Drosophila melanogaster: one gene and its partners. Changing the gene in region 3 together with the main gene of any one other region gives a genetic interaction. Each region holds a gene or a part of one and is shown on either strand. Other genes may lie near its edges. The genes, in order: Pka-R1, Galphas, sNPF-R and CrebB.

Region 1 (4,892 bases), 730 kb from region 3:
TGGGCAAACGAAATAATTTATTTTTAAAGGGTGGGCAAACGTTAAAAATGAATTTTAAAGGATGGGCAAACGAAATTATTTAGTTTTAAAGAGCGCAGGGCAATCGAAATTATTTATTTTTAAATGGTGGGCAAACGTTTTTTATTGGAAATTTTTATTTTAAAGAGGTGGGCTAACGAAATTGGGTGTATTTTAAATGTGGGCAATCGAAAAAAAATTTTTGTTAAAGGTTTTTTAAAGGGTGGGCAAACGATAAAAACTAATAATAATGGTTGGGCAAACCTTTTTTGTTGATAATATTTGGTTTTAAGAGATGGGCAAACGATTTACTCTCTGATTAGACCGAGGTAAACTTAAAAGCCTTATATTTTCTAAAGTATAAATTTTTTCAAAATTCTAAAGGGTGGGCAAACGTGGGCAAACGATGTTATTGCGATTTAAAAAAAAAAATTTTGAAAAAAGCGAAATTTTTGATTTTCGAAAATTTTCGAACTTTTTCGAAAATTCATATCTCAAAAACTGGACGTGGGCAAAAAAAACTAATTGGTGGGCAAACATGGGCAAAAAATGGGCAAACGATTCCAGCTTTCAAATTTCAAAAATTCGATTTTTCCGACCCCAGCTTCTTTGAGCTCATAAATTGCTTTCATCGGACCCACTTAAAAATATCACAGAAATCGTTTTAATGCGATGCGAGTGCATAAAAAGGAAATAAAAGGTAGTAAAATAACAATTTAATCAAGTAAACAGAGCATAATTCGAGGCCATATTTCGGGGAAATTTTTCATTGGAATTGTATGTTAAATGCTTTGCGTTCTGGAAGGAAACAAACAGATTGGATAGAATACGAGTGTTGATTTCATTTAAAATTGTTGATTTTCATTAAAAAAAAATGTTGTCAATTTGTTTTTCCTCAAGGAGACTATTTATATAGCTTGGAAGAAAAATGTATCCAGTTATACCTTGATGGCAATTCGATAATCGGAAAGTAATATTACTATTAACAACTTTGAGTTCTAATAAATATCTAAAAATGAGAATTGTATACCTTTCAATGGGATAATATAGAAATATGAAGGAACGGAAGAAGAATGAATACTTGAATGTTAAAGATTAAGGATTCTTAAGCGTTAATGCAATGGGACCCTTTCTCTTCCTCACTATAAAAACGCTATTGAAACCAATTCTTTCCGAAATATTTACCAAGTTAACCGTATTTAACACTTCGAATTTTACCCACCATTTCGCTGGTCGAGTTCCTGTCACTTCCGCTTTGGCACTTTTCCAACCTCGTTTGGCCAACACAATTGATTGTTGTTTGTCTGTACTTTATGGCGGACACTGGGGACAAAGTGTCCGGCGTAGTTTTTGGCACGATTCCGCTGTTAATCAGAAGCCGGCGTAAACAGCGCCGGACGGAGCGATGACAGCCGTAAAAGCGGCATTAACACGACCGTTAAACCGGACAATTCGATGATCGGAGCAGCGGAATTCGCGTGGCCATCAATCAGGCAAGAAAGTCGAAAAGTAACGACCGCAAAAGGTGAATGGTAACTAGTAAATTGAGCAGTTAAGTTGGCGAAAAAACTAAAATTGGGAACAACGATGGGCAACTGACGGTGGCCAAAAAGTGACTGAGACAAACGAAAGGACGAAAGCAAACTCTAGCAGCCAGACACAAACACAATCTCGACGACGACAGGATGACCTTCACCAACACGCCCAGCGAAGGCAACCTTTCTATATATACACAAATATATACATACAAATACGACTGGCCAAAAAGTAAAGTTTTTCGCACACCCGCCCACCACCTCACACACATACACTCGCACTTGTGACGCAAGTCCTGGCAAAGGGAAAAGCTTTTACGGGAGAAAAGGGCCAGAAGTGCTAAAGGGAAAGCGAAGGGAGCGCTTTGATTTCGTTAGAATTCCCTTCGAGTTTCAAGTGCAAACTCGACATTTTGTCGCAAAAAGCAGCTCGTGGGGCATTATGAAATGCACTTTCTTTAAATTAGTATATAGTTTAGGTTACTATATTCTACTGTATCCCAAAAATTAACCCCTTTCCATTTACCTTTTTGCAAAAAATAAATTTATAATGTTTAAATAAAATGTGAACATTTTCTTCCTGTTCGTTCTTTTTCTTCAGATACGAAAGATATTTTGAAAGAATTAAAAGGCCTTAACGTAAAACATAGCAAACTTTTTCATATTTTATTAAATTTTTATATTCTAAGTAGGGTATTAGGTGCTCGCGGAATAAGGTAAACATTTTTTTGCATGTTTTTATTTGTGTTAGAACTAACGACATCGTGATTTGTAGTCACAAATCGAATCAACAAGACACCAATTTCAAACGATTCAAAGCTTTCTAGTATGCGCACACTCCCACACTTTAAATCTTTTTTCCGCCAAAAGCTTTTCAGCACAAATTCCTAGTGATTTCCTACTGTTTTCCGGAAATTGGAAACTTTTCCGACTTTCCAACTTACTTCGCGTTCCCGCTGGCGCTCAAGCTCAAGTTCCTGTTCACGTTCGCGGGCCAGAGTGGAGAGATGAATCTGCAGGCTGCGATCGCTGACGGCATCCTCCTCGGGAATTGTGGTGCAGGAGGTGCGAACATGCCGCATGCGATGCACTGCATCCAAGCTCAGCCGATGTTCGTGATCATCGCGGAGCAGAGCATCGAACATGGCCACCCCGCCATCGATGCTACTTTCGCGCAGGATGCGTCCGCCGCGTCCACTGCAATGGGGACTCTGCTGCTGATTCTGCTGATGCTGATGATGATGGTGGGTGGTGGCCACCACGCCCTCCGAAAACGAACGGATGCGCATGGCGCCGTTGGCATCGGTGGTCAAAGCCACCGAGCGGAAGCGATCGATGACCGCATCCTGGATGCTGTTCACACTCAACTGGTTGCCCATGGCGCGCGGAGGCAAACAAATAAAAAGCAAACGAACGGAGTGAACTAGGTGGAAGCAGGATGCTTCTGCACGGCGTCAGGATGCTAATCCAACTGACAGCGGGTCCGGCATTCAACAGGCAACTTGCCCCAGAGAGTCCGGCGCACACACACAGGCGTACTCAAAATCAAAGTTGGGAGAAAAAGGGGTAAGGAAAGTCGCTTGGCAAGTGAGAGGGGGAACAGGACGATGTGGAAAGGACCTCCACAGGTGCGCTGCTCTATTTACATTGCAGCATTGCAAGCTTTTGCTGCAGCCTGTCTCACAAAATAAACTTTAAAGCTTCACAATGAACAGAGGGAATACAGTTCTCCGAAGCAGGAAGCCGAAAATAAAGCATCCGTGCTGGGAAATCCACCTATGGATGGGTTTTTTTTTTAACAATCCGCTCGAAAATAGACCGCAAGTTGTATTGATTTTCGTTTAAGCGGCAGCATTAACCAGCAAAATGCCGCTTGTTGCTTACCAAGTGGTTGAAACCCCGGAAAGGAACGTAGTCGCACAGGATAATTTAAACACCTTCCCTCACCAACGACATTTCTGGTATTTCTTACATATTTTGTTCAGATTATAATATAACATTTAGTATTGCTTTTGTAAAATATTTGTTCATTTCATTTCATTGAAAACAAGGAAGTACGCTATTCTATTTCGTGAATATCAGATACGCGTTACTCAGCTAGTCGGATTGCAAACAGAATATTAAAACCTTTTTCAAGACACACGGACGGACGAATATGGCCAGCTCGACTGATACTGATCAAGAAACATTAAACATTTTCTCCTACAATATCTTGAACGAATATAGTATACAAAAATAACCATGGAAATATGGCGCCGATCTGCGAAATGTACTTTGAAAACAGCCAACTTGGTTTGAAAAAAGGAACTTTTTCTTGATCATAGTAGAATTGAGCCTTCATTCAAATCCAATTTCCAGGTCTCCACGCTGAAGCCAGCATACAAACAGTTAGTACACTACCTTTGAACGAGGAACAACTAAAATATTTCGATAAAATTGAGTACAGTTTTTTATACATATATAATTTTTTTTTGTATAATTCTGAGTAACAAATTTGTTTGTGAAAATTTCTGTCGAGCAAGAATTGGTTGCAAAATGAGTAATCTGAAACAAAAGGATAGCAAGCCGGAGGTGGCAGTAACAAAATCAGTGAAAACCTATAAAAAATCAATTGAATATGTTAATTCCGACGCCTCCGACATTGAAGAAGATATCAATAGGGCAGAGGACGAATACGCCTCATCGTCTGGCTTTGTTAATTTTCTGAGGGACTTTAAGAAGCGCTACGGAGAATATTACTCGAATAACGAGATAAGACGGGCTGCTGAAACCCGATGGAACGAAATGTCATTCCGTCATCGATGCCAGTATTCTGCGGTAAGTTAGGTGTCGAATACAAACGAAATGCACATGTATGCAATCGTAATGCACTTCCGCAGGAACCATTGGACACTTTTCATGTAGAGCCCAACAGTGTGAGCAGTCTTCAGCGTTCTAGTGAGGGCGAGCACAGAATGCACTCTGAAATAAGTGGCTGCGCAGACACTTTCTTCGGTGCCGGTGGCTCCAATAGCTGCACTCCAAGAAAGGAGAACAAGTGTTCCAAGCCCAGGGTGCGGAAGAGTTGCCCCAAACCACGGGCGAAAACCTCGAAGCAACGTCGCAGTTGCGGCAAACCGAAGCCCAAGGGCGCCCGACCCCGGAAGGCATGTCCCCGCCCCAGGAAGAAGATGGAATGCGGCAAGGCGAAGGCAAAGCCAAGGTGTCTTAAGCCCAAGAGCTCCAAGCCCAAGTGCTCGATGTAATCGGAGGTTTCATCTTCCACACCCTTTCCTACACCACTTTTCGGCCATTTTTATTGATCAGGAACCAGTCAAAATTTCCCAAATGATGTAAACA
Region 2 (6,928 bases), on a different chromosome or scaffold from region 3:
GCAGATAACAGATCCGAATAATACGTGGCTATACCGGCAGCCAAAGTGCCTGCTTGCCCGCCTATTTGCCATTACTCACTGAACTCACTAATCCCCTTCCCAATCACTGAAACATATGCCCTGATCCCCAGATTGATTTCGGCTGCCAATGGACAAACGGTCGTCTGCTACGAGTGCAGCCAGTCGGAGTTCAAGACGAAGTACTCGGTGAAGCAGTGCGCGGCCGGCAAGATCGGGTCTGGCCATCACCGGGACCTGGTGCCCTACCTGGTGAGGATGGACCCCCTGTACAAGGACACCTGGAGCAGTAAGCTCAAGCGGAACTTCGACGAGATCGACAAGGCCTCCGCCAGCTTCAGCATCCTCAACCAGCTCGTCTAGTGATACCTTCGACAGCGCGTGAATGTAAATGCCCATGGATATGGATACGGACTCTGATAGCGGAAATACTCTAAAATGCTTCATGTCAAGGGACTATAGAAAATAAAGCAGGTGCATCCTGGTAGAATAGCCAAAATAATCGAAACAAGCGTGTCTGTTATTAACATGTTTATTTATTATTCTTTAATGTTGAGTTTTGTGAAAGGTCATACCAGATCTAAATGCAGCGAATTTTTTGTTTTAATCAAGGGACTATTTAAATACAAATTACATTTGATAATTATATTTAAAACAGTAAGTCATTAATATTTTTATTTACTTGCATTACGGCGATGGGGATAACCTATAACAATTCATATTGACGAAGGTGCATCCTTTGAATAATGTCTCTGCAATCATTAAACACACGTTTAATGTTTTCTGTGTCAACGGCGCATGTGAAATGTGGATAGCAGTAGTGTTTTCCGTCTCCGCTAGCGGTAGATATACGCTATATAAGAAAGAGATCCCATTAAGGATTAAGGCTAGTTAGATAGGTGGAGGAAGAAACGGAGATGTGATATAACCCACCAGAAACTCGTCTCGTATGAAATATTTTGCTCGTATTACTTCTGGGTCATCATTGGATTCCATTATTGCGTCACCTGTGTCGACAGCACATTTGAAATTAGACAAAATACATTATCCATTAAATTTCTTAAGTTAACTTGGGCACGGTTTGCAAATTTGAAAAGGAATTGCGAATTTCTTGGCCAGATCTGAGTCGGTTGATCTGATGACTCCCTCGCCCTCAATTGGCCTCTACTATGGGTTATACTATTTTACTTACTTGGCGTTTGGTATTTGTTAAACTCGGAGAAATATTCCGACAATTTACTTTTTCCAGCCTTAATTTTCTCTGCTAACAAATCTTGCTTATTTAAAAATAGTATAATAGAAATCGTGCGAAGCCATCTGAAAGAACAACTCGTTAGTTTCCATTTGTCGAGATGGCGCCAAATTGCTCGGTTCACCTGTTGTTCCAAATACTCTTGAACAAATCCAAAGATTCTCGAAGTCGGTTCTGGGTGGGATCTTCCCGCAAAACCATGTTATAACTTGAGCACGCAGTTACGAATATGATAGCAGTTACATCATTGAAACACTGAATCCATTTCCTACGCTCGTCCCGCTGGCCACCGACATCGAACATGCTGCACGCGAATGCACATCATTAGAATGGAATAGAAACTAAAATATTGCGATATCACTTGGGATTACACTTACTGAAAGTTTACTTTGTCCACTTGAAATCTTGTTTCAAATATTCCAGAAGTCAAAACACGGCACCGAAGAATATCCTGCTCATTAGGGGTGTAGTTTGGATTCTTGATTGTGCTCACTCGGTCCAGGAAGCTTCAAAGCAGAATATCAAGTGTAGAAGTAAGTACAAATTCGGTTTCAGTGCCTTAATCAAGCTTAGATACAAGTACAAATGCGGATTAGCTGGCATAAACTACGGAAAATTGGGACTTGGTGTTTAGCAACTTGTTTCTTCGGGGAATTAAACAAAAAGCCTTCTCAACTTGGAAAAGTATGATCGTTACGATACTTCTATGTGCATGGCGTAGTTGGTACTACTTCGACTACTAGCTCCTTTTAAGAATTGGACTCATTCTAAAACCCATATATTGTAGTAATTATTGTACAGACAGACAGATATGGAATGCGAAAGTAGGTTTAGGTTGTGGTTCTACTTTCAGATAGTCATACTGCAGCAAAGCGACGATATTTAAAGTTTACTTCATCAAGCGGATTACTTGTTAGAATTAAAAGTTGCATACTTTCGATCCAACGCATTGAATTTCTGCACTTCCAAGTGAAACACATAGTTAAGCTTTCAGAACAATTGGCATGCACTCCGAGATGAATTAAATTAAACAATTAAATCTGTTTGTAGTGCTACAAGAACTATTCGTTTGGCTCAACACATCGATGGCAGGATGTTAAATGTGGGTGGGCATTACTTACTATTTCGCACAATCGATTAATTGATACTCATTCGACCTCTCATAGGTTTGAAGAACGCCCTTGTCTTTCCATAGTTCTTCTGTATGTTCATAAAATTCAGGAGGATAATTAAAGTCCGGACCTGCGGGGCAGATAATGGTTGATAACAACTTAAGTTGGGGCGGCAGAGGCTCTTACTAGATGCATAATCCTGAATGTACTCCACTCTGGGTTCATTTTCCTTCTTTTCTAAAGCTACAGGTGGATTAAGTGTGCTCATGGCTCCTGTAATAGTCTGTAAGGGATTGGCAAGGAGTTAAGCAAGTGTTTGGGCTTAGATGGCCGGCGGGATGGAACTCACCAAGATAGCGTCTCGAATATTCTTTTTAATATCATCAATTTTCTGTTTCTTTTCCGAGTCAGAAAATCCGTCGACATGCAATATTCGCATTTGCTTGACTATGGTTGATTTGCCGGACTCGCCCGCCCCCAGGAGGAGCAGCCTGTGTGTGGCCCTGTAGAGCTGTTTGTCCTTCTGCAACTGTCTAGATATTGCATCGCTCCGGCGCTTCTGGCTCTTCGAGTCCTCCGAGTTCACGTCCGACTGCTTGGAGGTGGGCGACCCAAAGCAACCCATCGCAGCCCACGGGGTCCACCAACACGTCGCTCGGTTTTCCTGGTTCGCGTCGGGCGACTCGGCACCCCTTGTGCTTTCTCCGTTCTGCTCCAGTATAGCTGAGTGCTTGGGTTCCTCGGATCAAACCACAATCCCTTGTGTGCTCGTCGGTCTCCGGTCTGCGATCTCCGATCTCCGATCTCAGTGGCACCACCGTTGGCGTTGGCTCAGCGCTTCAGTGGATCTCTGCAGCAGGCTGCATTCGTACAATGGTATAGTAGATGGAAAAATGAGTAACAGAACTTTCAGAACTAACGATCCTCGAGCTTTCTATTCCCACTAACTGAGATTCTCCAGCAGAAACCCATTTCGATTGCATAGAATCCCGAATCCACTTCAGTGCCCCCATATCATCCGCGTACGCGCGAGTGTAGCGACCAAAATGGGTGCCTACTAAGCCAAGGCGACGCCGCTGACATTGCCGCCCACGAAAGTCCCGTGAGTCACTGGGTTTCGGGTCCCAAAAGCGCTCGCATAGCATCGGAATCGGAATGAAAATCAAAATCAAAAATTACTCCACGCAACGCGCGTTCATTCGCGTTGGACATTCGCGTCGGACGATTGGAATTCATCACATTCATATTCACATCCATATTCACAGCCATATTCACATTCTCATTCACATCGACATCCACAACATCGGCGTAGTGTAACAGGTGAAGAAGGGGGCGGAGAGGGTGGCACTCTCGCGCATACTGGGCAGCAGGTACGCATGTATATAGAGATACCAACCCAACATAATTCCATCTGCAGTTGAGGCTCGAATGGAATGGATGGGTCCGATACGCGGATTCGGATTCGATTAGCTCGTATGTGGGTTTACGGATGAGTGTAGGCACGCGAATATTAAGAGTATTTAATCTAGCAATTATTGCCGACCGACGGGAGTCGCAGGAAGATGAACGTACTATACCCTACACATATACCTATATAGGCGGAGGGGGTGGTGGCAGATATGCCAGATATGGCAGATATGCAGATTTTAATGTAAATATATGTACATAAATTCATCGGCATCGGAATCGGGATCTAAGCGGGCACGGACACGGACACGGGCACATATATATCTCACAGATATGAGTACACACCGTTGTGTATCTACTCGTATATACGTGCGTATGTATTTAGATATATACACAAGTTCTCGGTTCGCATGTGTGAATGGATGGATGTACATAAATAAATGTATGTACATATATCAATACGTAGTGCTCCGTGCCTCCGAATCCGAAATATTTGCCATTTCTTTGACACTTGGTTAGAAAAACTATATTATACCTATACCATCGCGAATCGGATCGAATCGAATCGAATGGAATGGAATCGCATCGCAACGCATCTGCTTGGATTGGTTTGGATTCGAATGGATTGAATTCGATGGATGGGATTGTATTTTGGATATTCATGCGCGAACGATTTTTCACTGATTTCAGGTTTAAGGACATGGGACGCAGGTCGCAGGTCGCAGGACGCAGGACGTCCGAAAATCGGGAGGTCGGTCGAGATCGAGGGGCTGCAGGGGCGAATCACATCTCTGCGCGATGGCAATTACGTGTGCGAACGCGACTATTCCCTGCGTTCGACAATGGTTATTGTTTACCGTGAAATTACCGAACATTTTTATTCATGGGAGCAACTTCGGGCCAAGACTATAGGTGCACGACTCGGTTGGGAGCGACTTTTGGGGTCTGAAAAACAGGCAATTCTATCGCACCCGACGCGCCAGCCACTGTTTTCCGGATTCCCAATGTTCTTAGTCTCTGTGTGCTCGCAATTCATCAATTTGTAGCTTAAAAATTACTTTTAATACCAGTACTAACTCACTTTTTATATATTTTTTATTTTATGTATCAACCTAGGGATGCAACGAAGTAGATACTTTTATCGATAGTCAGTCTGCCTATCGGATAGTGCGGGCGGTGATGTAGATAGATATGTTACTGGGCCAAAAACATCTATGCCAAATGACGATGTGCTATTTTAGCGAATATTAATAATAAAATAAAGTATCCCGAGCTATGTAGAATAGCGAAATCCAGAAACACCCGTCCGATACTTTACATAAGCAGCCGTCTCTACAGGCTTACATAGATATTCTACACGGGCGTGTAGAAAACATGTTTGAAGTTGTTATGATAAGGTATCAAAAAAAAAGTATCTTTATCTGTGATATAATTTGCAAATTTTATTTATTTTGTAAACTTTTAGTATTTATTATTCGTATCCATATCTGCAACGAGTAATCATGCTATTTGCATGCCAAACCTATTCACCCATTTAATAATTTCCATAACTCCCAACTGAATCTTGTCATCTCTTTTAATTGTAGTGTTTATTAAAGTATAAAATCATTGTCTTTTTCAAAAACGAATGTATTCATCCTCCACCTGCTAGCGGACCCAGAGGAACATCTACTTAAGATAGGTCTTAATCAAATTCTCCAGCTTAACAGTATCCACGGCGAACTTCCTGATGCCCTCGGAAAGTTTGTCGGTGGCCATGGCGTCCTCGTTGAGCAGCCAGCGGAACCGGCTCTCATCGACGGTGATCTTCTCGATGTCCTGCAGCTTGGCGTTGCTTACGGACAGGTAGGTGACCACCGACTCGGTCTCGTTCTCCAGCTCCTTAAGCAGCGCTGGGCTGATGGTAAGCAGATCGCAGCCAGCCAGGGCCTTGATTTCGCCCACGTTACGGAAGGAGGCGCCCATGACCAGGGTCTTGTAGCCGAACTTCTTGTAGTAGTTGTAGATGTTCGTCACGGAGATCACGCCCGGGTCCTTGAGCGCCTCGAACTTCTTGGTATCCGTGTTGGCCACGTACCAGTCCAGGATGCGGCCCACGAACGGGGAGATGAGGGTCACGCCGGCCTCGGCGCAAGCCACGGCCTGTGCGAACGAGAAAAGGAGCGTCAGGTTGCAGTGCACACCGTGCTCGTTCTCCAGGATCTCGGCCGCCTTGATGCCCTCCCAGGTGGACGCCAGCTTGATCAGAATTCGCTCCTTGTCGACGCCCAGGGATTTGTACAGGGCGATCAGCTTCAGGGCCTTCTCCACGCTCTTCTTGGTGTCGAAGGACAAGCGGGCATCGATCTCGGTGGAAACGCGACCGGGCACAACCTTCAGGATTTCCGTTCCGAACAGCACGCACAGGTAGTCCATGGCCTCGGCCACCTGCTCACTCACGGAGCTGCAAACGATGGTATTCTATGTAGCTTTGTGTGGCAAACACCCAAGTGAACTGCTTACCCCTTCTTGCCCTTGGCGTATTCCACCGCCTTTTGGACCAGCGGCTGGTACCGCTCCATGGACGAAGCGGACAAGATGAGGGAGGGATTAGTGGTGGCATCCGTGGGCTTATAGATGTTGATGGCTGGAAGCAATGTGTAAAGTATTTGCATAAGTGCGGGGCCAAATTACATTGCGAATTTTAGAAAGACCTCGAAACCTGTTGAGCGACTTTCATTTTTCAATCGCCCGACCGAAAATATCTTTGAACTTTTCAAATGTCTGAGCAGGTTTGGCACTCTGCTCCGAAACCTTATCTCTGGTGGCATTCTATAGTACACTTTACTATAGCGGTCACATTTCTAACACACGTAAGCACCAAAGGTCAAACTAAAGTCAGCTCGGATTTGCTTTTCACTTTTATTTGATCTTCACTGCGGCAGACACGACGGATCCGATGGCCCGTCGTTAATGTTTATCTTTTGGATAAATCCATGTATCCTATGTATCTTTGGACTCGGATTCTATGTATGCTCTATATATGTATGGATGTTCGAGCTCAGACTCGCATTTCGCTTTAGTTGCATTTCTGGATTCCCACTTTTGAGGCAAACTTACGCTAGCTTTGAAATCGGACTCATCTTGTTAAGAAAAATAC
Region 3 (4,703 bases):
TTTAATTGAAAAGCAATTAATTTTTTGGCCTGCATTAGGCTGCCCCGCAACCAGCTTGCTTCCCCGCGTGGCTCCCAGAGGACGCTGAATTATTGACAAAAGTTAAGTGAGCAACTGCACGGACCGAAATCATAACCAGACATCGACATCACCAGAGGTAAATTGAAAGGGAGCCCGGAGTCGAGCCGAATCGGGTTGGTTTGGGTTGGTTTGGGTTGGCTGGCTTGGTCTCTGGAGAAATTTGAAAATCCTAGCCACAAACGACTGACTGACTGACTGGCTGACTGGCTGACTGGCTGTCAATGGGGGAGGTAACTAGGGACACCGACCACCCACTCGAAAAACCAGATTACAGGGCGGCAATAGGAGCTAGACCAAAGACCAAGTCAAAGGCAATTCCATAGCCAACTTGGCAGTGCTGGCCTTGGGAATGGCAATCGTTTTATGGCTCCTTGGCTGCCCGGACTTACTCTGGTTGTACGGGAACTGAGAACTGGGGCCTCCATCGCTCAGATTGGCCGTAAAAATGTCACCTGTGACTTGCGACTGTGAGAAATCAAATAAATTCAAGCAGCTGGCCGGCTCTCCCCCCTCTACGCATTTCTTATCAAGCCCTTTGCCTCATAAACACACGAACATATAATGTGTATTTACATACACGCCTTTAGCCTTATGCATTATTTATGCAAAAGTTGGTGGCCAATAAAATGGCAAACGGTTTGAAAAAGCATACAAGCCAAGTGCTTGGAATGAAAATATCGGTTTTGGTCAGCGGTTCGACTAAAAAGTACCCTATCTATACTTTTTCAATTCAGTAATTTCAGCATATCAGTAAATATTTAATAAAAACCGTTTAACCAGCCCGGAATAAGTACTTCGCTTCCATTAAAGTTCCAAAATAAATATTTTGTTAATCCGAAAGCAGTCATAAGAAATAACATACGTTTTCCAACCAAATGCCAATGTTTTGCTTTGAGTTTTGGCTCTGCAAAAATATGTAAATGTTTTCATCGGAATGTGCACATCGCCATTACAGGGAAAAAGGAATTGAACAAATATTTCTCTAAAAATACAGTTGAGCAGAACTTCTATTTTGAAAAAATATTTGGTTTCGGCTAAACTTGCATAAAATTGGGAAAATATTCTACATTATAATATAAAACTGACTTCAATTAGCCGCTCACCTCGTTGGCTTACAAGTGGATAAAACAAATATTTGCAACTTTTACTTGAATTTTTTGGGTTCCAGCTGCTCAATTTGTCACTATTTCGTGGCCCAAAGTTGATTTAAATGCAAATGGGGGAGAATGGAGCTTGAGCAAAAGAGGATAATCGGGTGAGGATATCCAAGACACCATCTTAGCAATTTTCGCCCCAATTGCGAAATTTCGGCGACCTGAAATTGCCACAAAGACCAGTTTTAGTGGCCATCAGGCAGCTTTGGCGCGGTCTGATATGCAAATTGAAATGCGTTTTCCTTTTACTTAGATCCATGGTTGCTCCATTGCTTCCCCACCTTTGAACTATCGTAGGAGTACACCAACTGATGCTAGAATTGCATATAGAATTGCTTCGGGCTTGCGGAATCCTTGAAATGAGCACGCGTATCACGTATACGCAGTGTGCGTCTAAAGATGATCCGATTGAGGGGACTAACTTGGCTGAACTTAAACTCCGCAGGCAGAGTTGAGAACGAGTTTGCATGTGACACCAATGTTCCGCTAATAAGTAAATCAAAGCATCAATCATCCTAAATCACACGATTATCACTTATGACATCTGCGTCCCAAGACAATAATAATGATTAACGTTACGTATACAACGCAGCTAACTTGACCAATTTCCACCTGAACAACATGGTCATTAGCATGCGCCCTTGTTGGGCAAAGCAATCAATGCATTTGTTTATCGAATCAACAATTGATGGATGGCTGGCTGGCTGACTGACTGAATGACTGGCATCCATGTCAGAGGGGATCAATTAGAATCAATCGAAAGTTGTTCGGACTGTCTTTTGTTTATCGTTTCGCCCTACACTCGAGGACCTATTAAAATTAAAGGGAAATTTGCATTTTTAATTAAGGAACAGTGACGACTGAGCCATTTGACTTGGCCATAAAATGTAAACGGACTACGTGGCTCCCCCACCACCACTTTCGATTTCCTTTTAAATGCAATTGGGTTTTCCTAATGTTATCTTCTTTTGCTCTTGCTTTCCATTTAGCCTTCTTGTGCTGTTCTCCATTTTGCTGCTGCTAACTTATTTGTTTTGTCGCAAAACAATATAAAAGTTGAATGTTTTTTTCGGGACCTCCAGTAGGAGGCCCACCAGTCTTTTTTGGCAGCGGAAAAACTTTTCTTTGTGGGAGCGAAAGAAAAGGCCGCAGGAGAAAGTTGACTTGAATTCAATTTGTTCGGATCGTAATGAATATACTCGGGGTTATACATACATCGGTCTGGCCAAAAAACATGTCAAACTTATTTTCGAATACATTTGAGCGTTCCGCCCATACTCACCCCACACTGCGGGATGCTTTAATTTAATGATTTAATTTCAAACTGGCTTCCAGTAAGTTAATCTTTAACTCGCACTCTGGCCGTTAATTATTATTGTTGGGCATTGAGACAAACAGCGGAAAGGCGAAAAGTTTTGGCCCGGCTGGCCACGGGAAAAAGTACTAAACAGGGGGTATAAATAAAAACCGAAAGCTGTCGACCGCCGACGTGTCAACACCGCGTATACGAAATGTATATAAATACAGGGAGGGGAGAAACGGCTCGGAACACAAAAACCAAAAACCGCAAGGATGGAGGCACTCGAGCACGTTTCGGCACTTGTTTGGTCTCCCTTTCACTGCCTCGCTCCCACTTTCGCTATCAGTTCTTTACCGCACAATGAAAATATGTTTCCTTTGCCTTCCGCCGAAGAAAATTTTTCCTCTGTTTGAAAGTCTTGTTTGGGTTTTTCTTTCGGATTTTTCTGCCGATTTTCGCGTCCGTCGTCAACGAAGAATCACAGGCAACTGAACGGTCCAACTTCGTGCGGCTAAACGGCCGACCAACAGGTTACTTGCTGATAAGACCTCGTGAAGAGCCGAGCAACTCGAGTCGTTTCCCTCGCTGCGTATACGTTATATGCAGCATCGTCGGGCTATTACGTATACGCAGCGTTTAACTCACTCAATTGCAAGGGCTTTGAGTGGGCGAGCCAAAAATTGAGTGACTTTTCGTGTCACAAGTGCTGAGTGATTCATGTCAATTATCTGCAAGCCGAGCAGAGCTGAGTGGATGACAGTTTGCGCCCTGAAATGAGCCGTAAACCGCGGAATTCGGTAAGAGGAACTTCATAAATCCATCGCTGAAAGAACCACTGATGTCATGTAAAAGTTTATAATTCGGAATTTGTATCTAAAACCTTAAAGATCGATTTTCTTTCTGCTGAATTTGCAAGGAACTTACCGGCTCGCTAATATTATTAAATACTTTAGGTCTTCACAGGTTACTATATTTAAATAAAGAACTTAAACCAATATGAACAAAAATGTATCTCCTTCTTGTTTGCTTTAATGGGGACCCAACAATTAGCTAATCAAGCATTATATTTCATTTCTTTCGCACACAAGCAGATAGACCATAAATGTATCTCATCCAATTATCGCCATCAGCCTGTGCTTACCTTCTAAACTTCCTCATATATGTATTTACTTCCTACGTTCGTCACCTCATTTCGTCGCTTCTCGCAATTTTACACCCAGCTCTTTCGTCACTGCAATGGTATATCTAATTGTCCTTTAAAGTTGTAACAACTTTAAAACTTTTAAAACGAAATATTGATTTATAAAACTGATAAATATTTAAAATATTTTAATAGCTACGTGAAAAATATTCTTAAGTAATTAGGAAATAATTTTTTTAAATAATGAATACATTATTATATATATTATATTATTATAACTTTCTCACCACATCATGTTCCAAATAATAAAGAAAACCCAGAATGGGTATCACGTAATCCGAATACAACCTTAGTGTCCTTATTTGTTTTTTTATCTGTCGCCGGAAAGTTCCACAGGAAATCACAAGCAGTCAAGGGCGTTCGGAGAGGGCTACAAGGGATGTGCCAACTGATGCAGCTGCGATTTATTTATTAAAGCCAAGTCGACAAACAGTTTACACTTGGGACGAGACTCCTCCTCCGGAGCCACCGATTGTCGTCCCTTTTCCATCGTCCTCGGAAGAAGGCTTCATATTTTTAAGCACCTCACCTGACACATTTATGCTCTGCCAGAAGTGAAGTGAATAGTGGCCGCTTTTCAGAATCCCATCTCCCTGCGAAGCCTCACTCTTTAGTCCTTTAGCCGATTACCATAAACAATGGCAACTTTCTACCTGAGACGACTCATCCTTACTTTCAGACTGCGACTCATACTCTTAGGGGAAATTTGTGTAACATATTCAAGCGCTGCTTTCATGAATTTTTATTTACTTGCCAGGCATCTTTACCAACACGCACTCCACATACAAGCATACATACAGGCAGGCCAGTCGAACGCCCTGTTGACATTATCAAGTAAATCCGTGTTGCGCATACGCCTCGTAGGCATTTTAAGGAAAAACTCGAAAGATAGCACACTTCGGCAAGCAGATGCTCATATAGCCTCTCTGTAAATCTGTATATGTTGAATAAGAGCACCTTAATCCAT
Region 4 (7,710 bases), on a different chromosome or scaffold from region 3:
TCGATTCCGAACTGGATTCACGGTAGCGTGCAGAATTGTCTGCTTAACCAGGTTCTTTGGGAGCGGAGAGGGTTCGTTTAAAATTACGTAACAAAGTGTTTGAATATTTAACTCCATGCCCAAATCCCAGACAATCAATTCATCCATTCGATTTAAGACTAATTCTACAGATACACATTGGCCGGCACACACGCATATATACATACTACACGCACACGCATATGTAAATCAAGTGAAACTAGCGACTTTTGAACAATTTTAATTTGGTAGGCCCAGAAAACCCATCTAGAAAGGACTCTGGTGGATTGGGCAACCTGCTGGTTGACTATATCCTGACATATGGGCACACAACAACAATTCGCTAAGAAAAAACACTTTCGCTAGACACGCACGTTCTGCTGCATCGATTACGAATTAGGTAAAACAAAAAATTTAATTACAATAGGTAAGGTAAGGTAAGGTAAGGTGTGCATGCGGGGGGGTGTGGTGAAAGGTCTTAGGTTACGGAAACACATGTTCGTAGGTAAACTGCAGTATCGTTAAGTTAGCGAGTAAACTAGGGCATAAACTAAATCGTAAACATAATATTACATCTTTAAATTACAAACATAATTACATTGTGTGTCCGGCAGATAGACCCTCTGTCCCTTCCATCCGGTTCGGTTCGATTAGGTTTGGTCCGGTTCGGCCCGTCTGCATCCCAACAACAACAACAACACGATCCCCACAGTTAATGTACACGCTACCACATGCAGCATCCCATGCGTATAGAAATCATGATATGCGACCGGCCAGCGGCAAGGATCGATCCACCATTGTTGTCCAGAACAGAACGGAATAGAACAGAGCGGAGCGAAGCGCAGTGATCGCCGTAACCGTAACCGTAACCGTTGCCGTAGCCGTAACCGTAGCCGTAACTGGAGGCGGAGGCGCAGGCGGCGCCAGAGCCCCGCCCACATTCAATCGTTCTTGGTCTGACAGTAGAGCTCCTTGAGCGACTTCAGCTCCTCGATGAGCGCTTTGTTTTGGTTCTCTAGCACCGCCACTCGATTCTCCAGGCACTTGATGTACTCCTTCTTCTTGCGCCGGCACTCACGCGCCGCCTCCCTGTTCTTCTGCAGCCGGATCTCGCGCTTACGGGTCTGATCCTCCGCTATCCCGCTGTTGTCTGCAAAAGGAAAAAGTTTTCAAGGATTGGATAATCAGTCATTCAGCTGGCTGTAAGCGATGTGTGTGTGCACATCTCCCAAAGCGGAACTCTCTGTAACTCGAACTGAACTGGATTTCATAGTCATTGATGGTTTGGATTTGGTTTCACTTCGATGTCAACACAAATTGCATGCAAAAATGATTGAACACACCATCCATGTTCAACTAAACAATTTGAATAAAAACGAAAATAATGCCAGCATGGAATGGAGCATTATCAAAGTTATCAATTACAATCATTTGAGTCCATATGCTGCAGTTAGGCGATGAAGCAGTTCCATGGACGCTGATTCATCGCCTACATTCAGCTCGATAACTCGATAACTTCAATTTGATAGACCCTCGATTCCAGTTCGATTTACGAGTGGTCCTGCCAAGTCGCAACTAAAGGCTAGTTTTGGAGCGAGGCTATTACTGGTGTTGTAGGACATCCGATTGGACAGGTAGTACGTGGGATCCAATTGCATCAGGGAGCTGTTCGCCGCATTGCCCCCCGCTCCGGTCCCCGCCAGCTGGGAATTGAGCACGCCGTCGGACATGGGAAGCGATGCGCCTGGGATGGGGTTCGATTCGATTTGATTCGAGTTCGATTCCGATTCGAGTTCGGTTTGGGGTTTTGATTGTCGTTTGTTGTTGTTGTTGTTGCAGTTGTTGTTCAGAACATTATCGAATTTTATATATCGTTTTTTTATTTTTGTGGGTTGGGTGGAGGAAGGCGTTCGAAAAGAAAACAATGAAAAAAAAACAACAATAAAAAAATTATAAGAAAACATATTTTCCATTTTTCAGTTTTCAATTGGAAGCTTTTGAAAATTCGGATTGGTTTTTTTTTGTTGGTTGGTTTATGAACTTGAGTGGTGTGTGCGAGCGAGAACGGCGAGCGAGCGAGCGAGATAGGTAGATTGGTTAGTCAAAGAGAGTGGAGAAAAGCTTTTGATTAACGGTTAAAGTACTGTTAGGTGAGACGTTTGCTTGTACTTCTTCATTACTATTTAATATTTGGCATAATGGGTTGTGTGTGTAACAACGGCAACAACAACAACAACAGCGATTACAGCAACAACAACGACAGAGAGGCGGCGAAAGAGAGAGAGAGGGGAGGGCGATAGAGAGAGAGATAGAGAATTGTGGGCAAGAAGACAGCAGCAATAGTTCAAATGCTTAAATTATTGTAAATATTAATCATTATTCTTGCTGTCTTCCCTCCCTGTCTATGTACATATGTGTGAGTGTGTGTGTGAGTTGGTGAAGTTGTGCGCGAGTGTGTGTGTGTGCGAGTGAGAGGTTTATTTACAGGGGAGAATTGGAAAATCGTGGAATCTCTACAACGCGTCCTCTTTTTCTGCTCCTTCTCGGGCCAAGTTTTCCGGCCTTTTGTTTTTCTTTCATTATTTTCACTTCGTTAAAGCAACACCAACAACAACATCAACTAAATGATAATGGGGGTGGTGGAAAGGGGCGGGGTTCCCGCTTGTACGGCTGCCCTAAATGGCATTCCTAATGATGTACAAAGGACAAGGCTGGCAGTCCTTCACAATCTATGTGTTGTATGTACAAATACAGTTGAGATCCAAACAAAAACACAATGTTAGCTAACTGGGTTCCATTAGTTTCTACCTCTTTCCTCTGTTTCATTATATTTTTAAGAAACTATGTAAGAAAATAAACAACCCTCTATTCTGTTCTGGTTGAAAATAATAGTTTCAAATGGAAAGCTTCGGAAATGTATATTTAATGCTTTTTTTTTATTCTGTCCACATTTTCGTTACTTTTTAGCTGGGCAAGGTTTTGGCTAGAGAATCTTATTGCACTAGGAGAACCATATATTGCTTTATAAACAATAGCAACGTAATGAATGTTGCAAATGTTTTCCTTTTGTATATTTACAATATAGATTTCATAAGGATCCAGTGAGCAACTTGGACCTTAGACTTTTCTGATAAAATTGTAAATGCACTTTTTGTGGCAAGAGTATAATTTTACAGTACATTCCTCTCGTCTAATCATTTCGATATGGATCATTTGCTAAAGCGCACTACAACGAGTGTTAACAGTGTTACTTAGCCAACAGCTACTGTACAAGATGAACGGGAAAGGTGATCGATCATGGGGTTACAAACACTGAGAATGGAATGGTGTCTGATGGACTGACCGATTCCCCAGCGTTATGAGAGTTGCTGGGAATGGTCGAAAGATTGCCAGGCGCAAGTGCATCGTGAAATGAACGATGAGTGGCGATCAGCTCGACGATGCATTGGATTGTTAGGCGATGTGGTGGTTTAAAGAGCGACAGAGATGTGTTCGAGTGGGTGTGTGACTGGTGGAGAGATCGTCCCCCGGATTTACCGCTCATGTCCGGACCGCTGATCTCGGTGAAGATCTTATTGTACGACGGCCGTCGCGTCAGCTCGCTGCGGTGGTGCTGGGAATCGTCGTCCGACAGACTCTCGTCGCTGTCCTCCGGGTGCTGCGTGTTCGGTTCGGGCTTGATCTTACACGGAAAGGTTGGAGGGATCTGTGTGCGAGGTGATCGAGTTCATTAGTAGAGTTCGGTTCGGCGGGTGCTCCGTGCTCCCCGTTCTACGCACTTTGTTACGCACTTGCACTGCATTGCCAGGCGTCGTGTGGATGACCGTCGAGTTCGGCGGCTTGGCCACGTAGACCACCTTCTGCATCGCTGTGGCGGCGGCCAGCGCCTGTTGCTGCTGCTGGGTTCCAGCTGCTGTCTGTATGACTCCCGAGGGATTGGCCTGTATCACGGACTGCACCTGCGGATATAGAAGGTCACTACATTAGAAACGCTCGCGGTCAGGGTTATTGGCCTCAACGGGACTGACATAGTAAGTTTTGTAGGCTGTAGTGTAACTAACAAACACCGCAAATTCTCGATATTCTAATGAATAAAATTAAAAGTCCTGTGAATGTGTAAGTGTAGTCGACATCCTAATAACAGCTATATGGTCTATATCAATTTTTGTGAAGCTTAACTATAAAGATTTATTATATGTATTATGTAGTCCATATAGTCATACCCCATTTAATATATACATTGGTAAACGAAATCGATTTTAGGGATGTAGAATAAGAAACGTATTGAAATGATTGAAAAATGATGGATGCATAATCTATGCAGTAAACTTTATAAAACTTTATAATAAACAGTATTGTACTTGTTTGTTTGCTATTAGTTAAAGAACACTAAGCTGCCTTATTTCCGGTAATAACTATCCCTATCTACACTCAGTTCCCATACCAAAGGAGGCTTTGAAGTGCTTCTGCACTAACATCCTTGGTAGCCACTTCTGGCTGGGATCCGTAACACCTGACACTCGACAGTTGACACCAAGCACCCGGTCCCCAAATGCTCACCTGCAGTCCGTGCTGCGCCAGCGTCTGGATGGGGTATTGTATGTTGCAGTTGGCGGTGGTGGTCAGCACGGAGGACACTCCGCCTCCCTGGGCGTTGTTCGTCGCACCCGTTGGACCGCCGGCCGTTGTACTTTGTGGGTTCTGTTGCTGCTGCTGGGGGTTACCACCGCCGCCGCCTCCTCCTCCTCCACCGCCGCCGCCCACCGCTGCCGCCGCCTGTTGGGCAACGACATCGACCACGTCATTGGAGCCCGATGCCGCCGACGAGTTGCCGTTCTCCTCGACGATGCTGTTGTCCATGTTGCCGATCCTGGCGATCTTCAGCAGCACCGAGACGCTCTCCGACAAGTGCTTCAGTTTGGCTACCGTTTCCGCTTCAATTTGGCCAGCTTGAAGACGTTTCTACAATTGGATTGGATTGGATTGCTTTTGGATTACGCTGTCAGTTTTACGGTTTATCAATTTGTCATCCAGTTTGTGATACCGATTCAGATCGGAATCCGTTTCAGTTTAAGTTTCAATTTCTGTTTCTGGGCGGGATTGGCATGGGCTCGTTTTTGTTTTGGGCCGATGACGAGTGTGCGTTGTGATGACGATGATTATATTGTGGCTGTGGTGCCGATTGCTGACTGATGGAACTCAAGTTCCCCCAAAGGAAAACAACAACAACAGCAACAATAACAACAACACCGAGTCGTGAGTATTTCGGTTGAATGACGTCATGACAACGTTGCGCGCGCTTGTGTGCGTGTGCGTTTGTGTGTGTGCCAAGAGGCAACAAAAAAAACAGAAAAACACACAGCACACAGCGAAAAAATCAACTTACTTTCTGATGACATCACTAAAAACGTTGCTGCTGAGAGGCTTTTGTTGTTGTTGCCGTTGCTCACTCTCTCTCTCTCTCACTCCTTCCTGGGCGCGTGTGTGTGTGTGTACGCGCGTTGCACGCTGCGCTGGCAACTTGTTGAAAAGTCGCGGTGTCCAACCAAATAAATATTTATGTATAAAGCAGCAGAGTAAGCGAATCGAAGTTCGAACCCTAAAACTTCAGATACGTTTCGAATGGCATCGCGCAAAGGTTTCGTATTTGTTTGCTCTTTTTGGGAGAACCCCACAGAACACACACGCACACTTAAGCACAGCAGCGAATTGGTGCGACAAGTTGGCAGCACGCACACACACAACACTCTCTCGCTCTCTCTCTCTCCCGTTCTCGCTCGCTCTCACTGCCTGTTGTTATCGTTGCTTACGTTCTTTTTTCTATTTGCAGCACCGAAACGCGTTTCTTTTGGCGGCAAAGACGCTGGCTTGGCGGCTTTCGAACGACAATGTACGCGTTTTCCACGGCAATGCGATCGTGCGCAGCGATTTATTGATAAAGACCGTTTTTGCGCAAAAATCGTTCGCTTATTGCTGGCTCGCTCGCCTAGTGATGTAAAATAACATCGATGCATCCAACAGCGATGTTTTGGGGCGATGTGTTTCGATGTTTTGCTTGATATCGATGTCACACATCGGCTGTTTCACAGAAAACTGCTCGATAAAGTGTGACCCTGGCTGCGGAATGAGCAACAAGCTACAGCAACAATAAGGCTCCACACTACCACACCGGTTGAAACCTTGGCTAAGCTCGTGGTGCGGAGCTTGGCTATAACTGCGGGAACTTTTAAAACTTCATTTTGTTATGGTTTTTTTTTTAAGTTTTTAATACTTAGATGAAGGTTGTAAATCAATTTTCCTCGGTTTTATTTATTCATCTACAAGTATGTAAATTATTTCAACTTCATATCTCTATTTTCCATTTGTAACCGAAATTAATTCCAAGTCCATTGTTGGCCGTTTAATGAATCACTAATTGTATTGTTATTCTATTAATTCAACAAAAAGAGGTGTTCAGTAGCACTAAAAACTAACAATTAGCAATCGCAAAATAATTACTTTTTCATAATAGTTTATAGAACCGCAGATTTTAGCGCGCCTAAAAACTAGAAACTTTGGTCACAGAAAAAAATTGTTGCTCTTTTTTTTATTTCGCTACCACTAAAAACAGCCTGCTCACATAAGTGCAAAAAACAATTAGCCTAAATGATGTTCGCGGCTAATTACTTTACAGCCGAATAACTATTGGCTACATGAGCTGGCCATGACGTCATCGCGAGAAAACTAGCCGGAAAGTTTGAGGCGTAAAAACCTTAAAGCCTTAAAAACAGACTCGAGATTATTTGAAGCCTGCAACGGGCTCTCAATAAATAGTTAATTAGTGCAATGACTGTGCCCCCGTTTACTTTCCCTCTGTGAATTATAATTTCCAATTCCATTTGCATTATTTAGGCTGCTTTTTCAATCGACTTCCCTTTGAGTGACATAATAATTGCCATTAATTACGACGTCGCACGAACCCTCAAACGCCTCCAAGCCCCTTCGCCACCCACCACCCATCACCCAGCACCCACCTCACCCCTCCCCCTTGTGGACCCCAAATGCCGGACTGTCTGAACCACCGACCTCGTGGACTGACTCACTGTCCAAATCCGCATTACCTCCGCGCGCCAGCTGACATCACTGGCTAATGAAGTTTGCCCGGTGGCCGCAGAAAGGAATTGCAAATGCGGTTCCCATATTACACTTCTAATACACTTATATACATATATACATACATATGTACATATGTACATACATATGTACTGAGTACACCTGCGGTCAGCACAATAGCCGTTGAGAGCCCGACCATAAATTGGCTGAAATATGCGGCTTGTGTTTTGGCTGTTAAAACGGACTTGCATACCAAAATACACACCGCCTACACAGAAAGAAATTAAGATCGATTTCCATTTGAAGTTTTGCTTGTACTACGGTCAATTCAATTCAATTCAATTCAATTCAAAATGTATCACAATAATTTAAACCCAACTTTAAAATTTCATATATTAATTCAAACTATAAACACCATAACCAAAGCTGTTAATTTTAAGTTATTATTGCTTCATCAATAAAAATAGTTTTTCAAGTTATTAATTTTAAAATAATAATAAGCAAAAAAAGGGCAATTTGCCTAACTATAGTTAAGGTAATAAAGAATGTCGTTTCTATTAACTTTATCTTGCGTGAATAGTTGCTTAAATATTAATATTT

Evidence for each region.
Region 1: of sNPF-R (region 3) and Pka-R1, changing one suppresses a phenotype caused by changing the other (phenotypic suppression), as found in Drosophila melanogaster (one study listed by BioGRID).
Region 2: of sNPF-R (region 3) and Galphas, changing one suppresses a phenotype caused by changing the other (phenotypic suppression), as found in Drosophila melanogaster (one study listed by BioGRID).
Region 4: of sNPF-R (region 3) and CrebB, changing one suppresses a phenotype caused by changing the other (phenotypic suppression), as found in Drosophila melanogaster (one study listed by BioGRID).

The regions. Positions count from the first base shown.
Region 1 is NT_037436.4:20,817,075-20,821,966, reverse strand, and holds the start of Pka-R1 (protein kinase, cAMP-dependent, regulatory subunit type 1), read right to left. Parts: upstream 3,003-4,892; 5' UTR 2,933-3,002; coding exon 2,498-2,932; intron 1,637-2,497; exon of another isoform or gene 1,244-1,636; coding exon of another isoform or gene 1,241-1,243; intron 1-1,240. Other genes in the region: Mst77F (Male-specific transcript 77F), read left to right, coding at 4,089-4,370, 4,433-4,798.
Region 2 is NT_033778.4:23,940,544-23,947,471, reverse strand, and holds Galphas (G protein alpha subunit s), read right to left. Parts: upstream 4,935-6,928; 5' UTR 4,871-4,934; exon of another isoform or gene 4,658-4,870; intron 3,496-4,657; exon of another isoform or gene 3,243-3,495; 5' UTR 3,008-3,242; coding exon 2,732-3,007; intron 2,666-2,731; coding exon 2,569-2,665; intron 2,513-2,568; coding exon 2,392-2,512; intron 1,777-2,391; coding exon 1,648-1,776; intron 1,575-1,647; coding exon 1,395-1,574; intron 1,336-1,394; coding exon 1,211-1,335; intron 1,035-1,210; coding exon of another isoform or gene 1,026-1,034; coding exon 952-1,025; intron 872-951; coding exon 725-871; 3' UTR 536-724; downstream 1-535. Other genes in the region: orcokinin, read left to right, coding at 132-381; Taldo (transaldolase), read right to left, coding at 5,458-6,232, 6,292-6,415.
Region 3 is NT_037436.4:20,085,981-20,090,683, forward strand, and holds the start of sNPF-R (short neuropeptide F receptor), read right to left. Parts: upstream 3,028-4,703; 5' UTR 2,890-3,027; exon of another isoform or gene 2,518-2,889; intron 1-2,517.
Region 4 is NC_004354.4:18,369,301-18,377,010, reverse strand, and holds CrebB (Cyclic-AMP response element binding protein B), read right to left. Parts: upstream 6,028-7,710; 5' UTR 5,829-6,027; exon of another isoform or gene 5,405-5,828; intron 4,981-5,404; 5' UTR 4,879-4,980; coding exon 4,579-4,878; intron 3,978-4,578; coding exon 3,798-3,977; intron 3,725-3,797; coding exon 3,556-3,724; coding exon of another isoform or gene 3,314-3,555; exon of another isoform or gene 2,915-3,313; intron 1,763-2,914; coding exon 1,625-1,762; intron 1,169-1,624; coding exon 960-1,168; 3' UTR 194-959; downstream 1-193. UniProt on the Drosophila melanogaster protein: Isoform E is a PKA-dependent transcriptional activator. Isoform J is a direct antagonist of activation by isoform E in cell culture.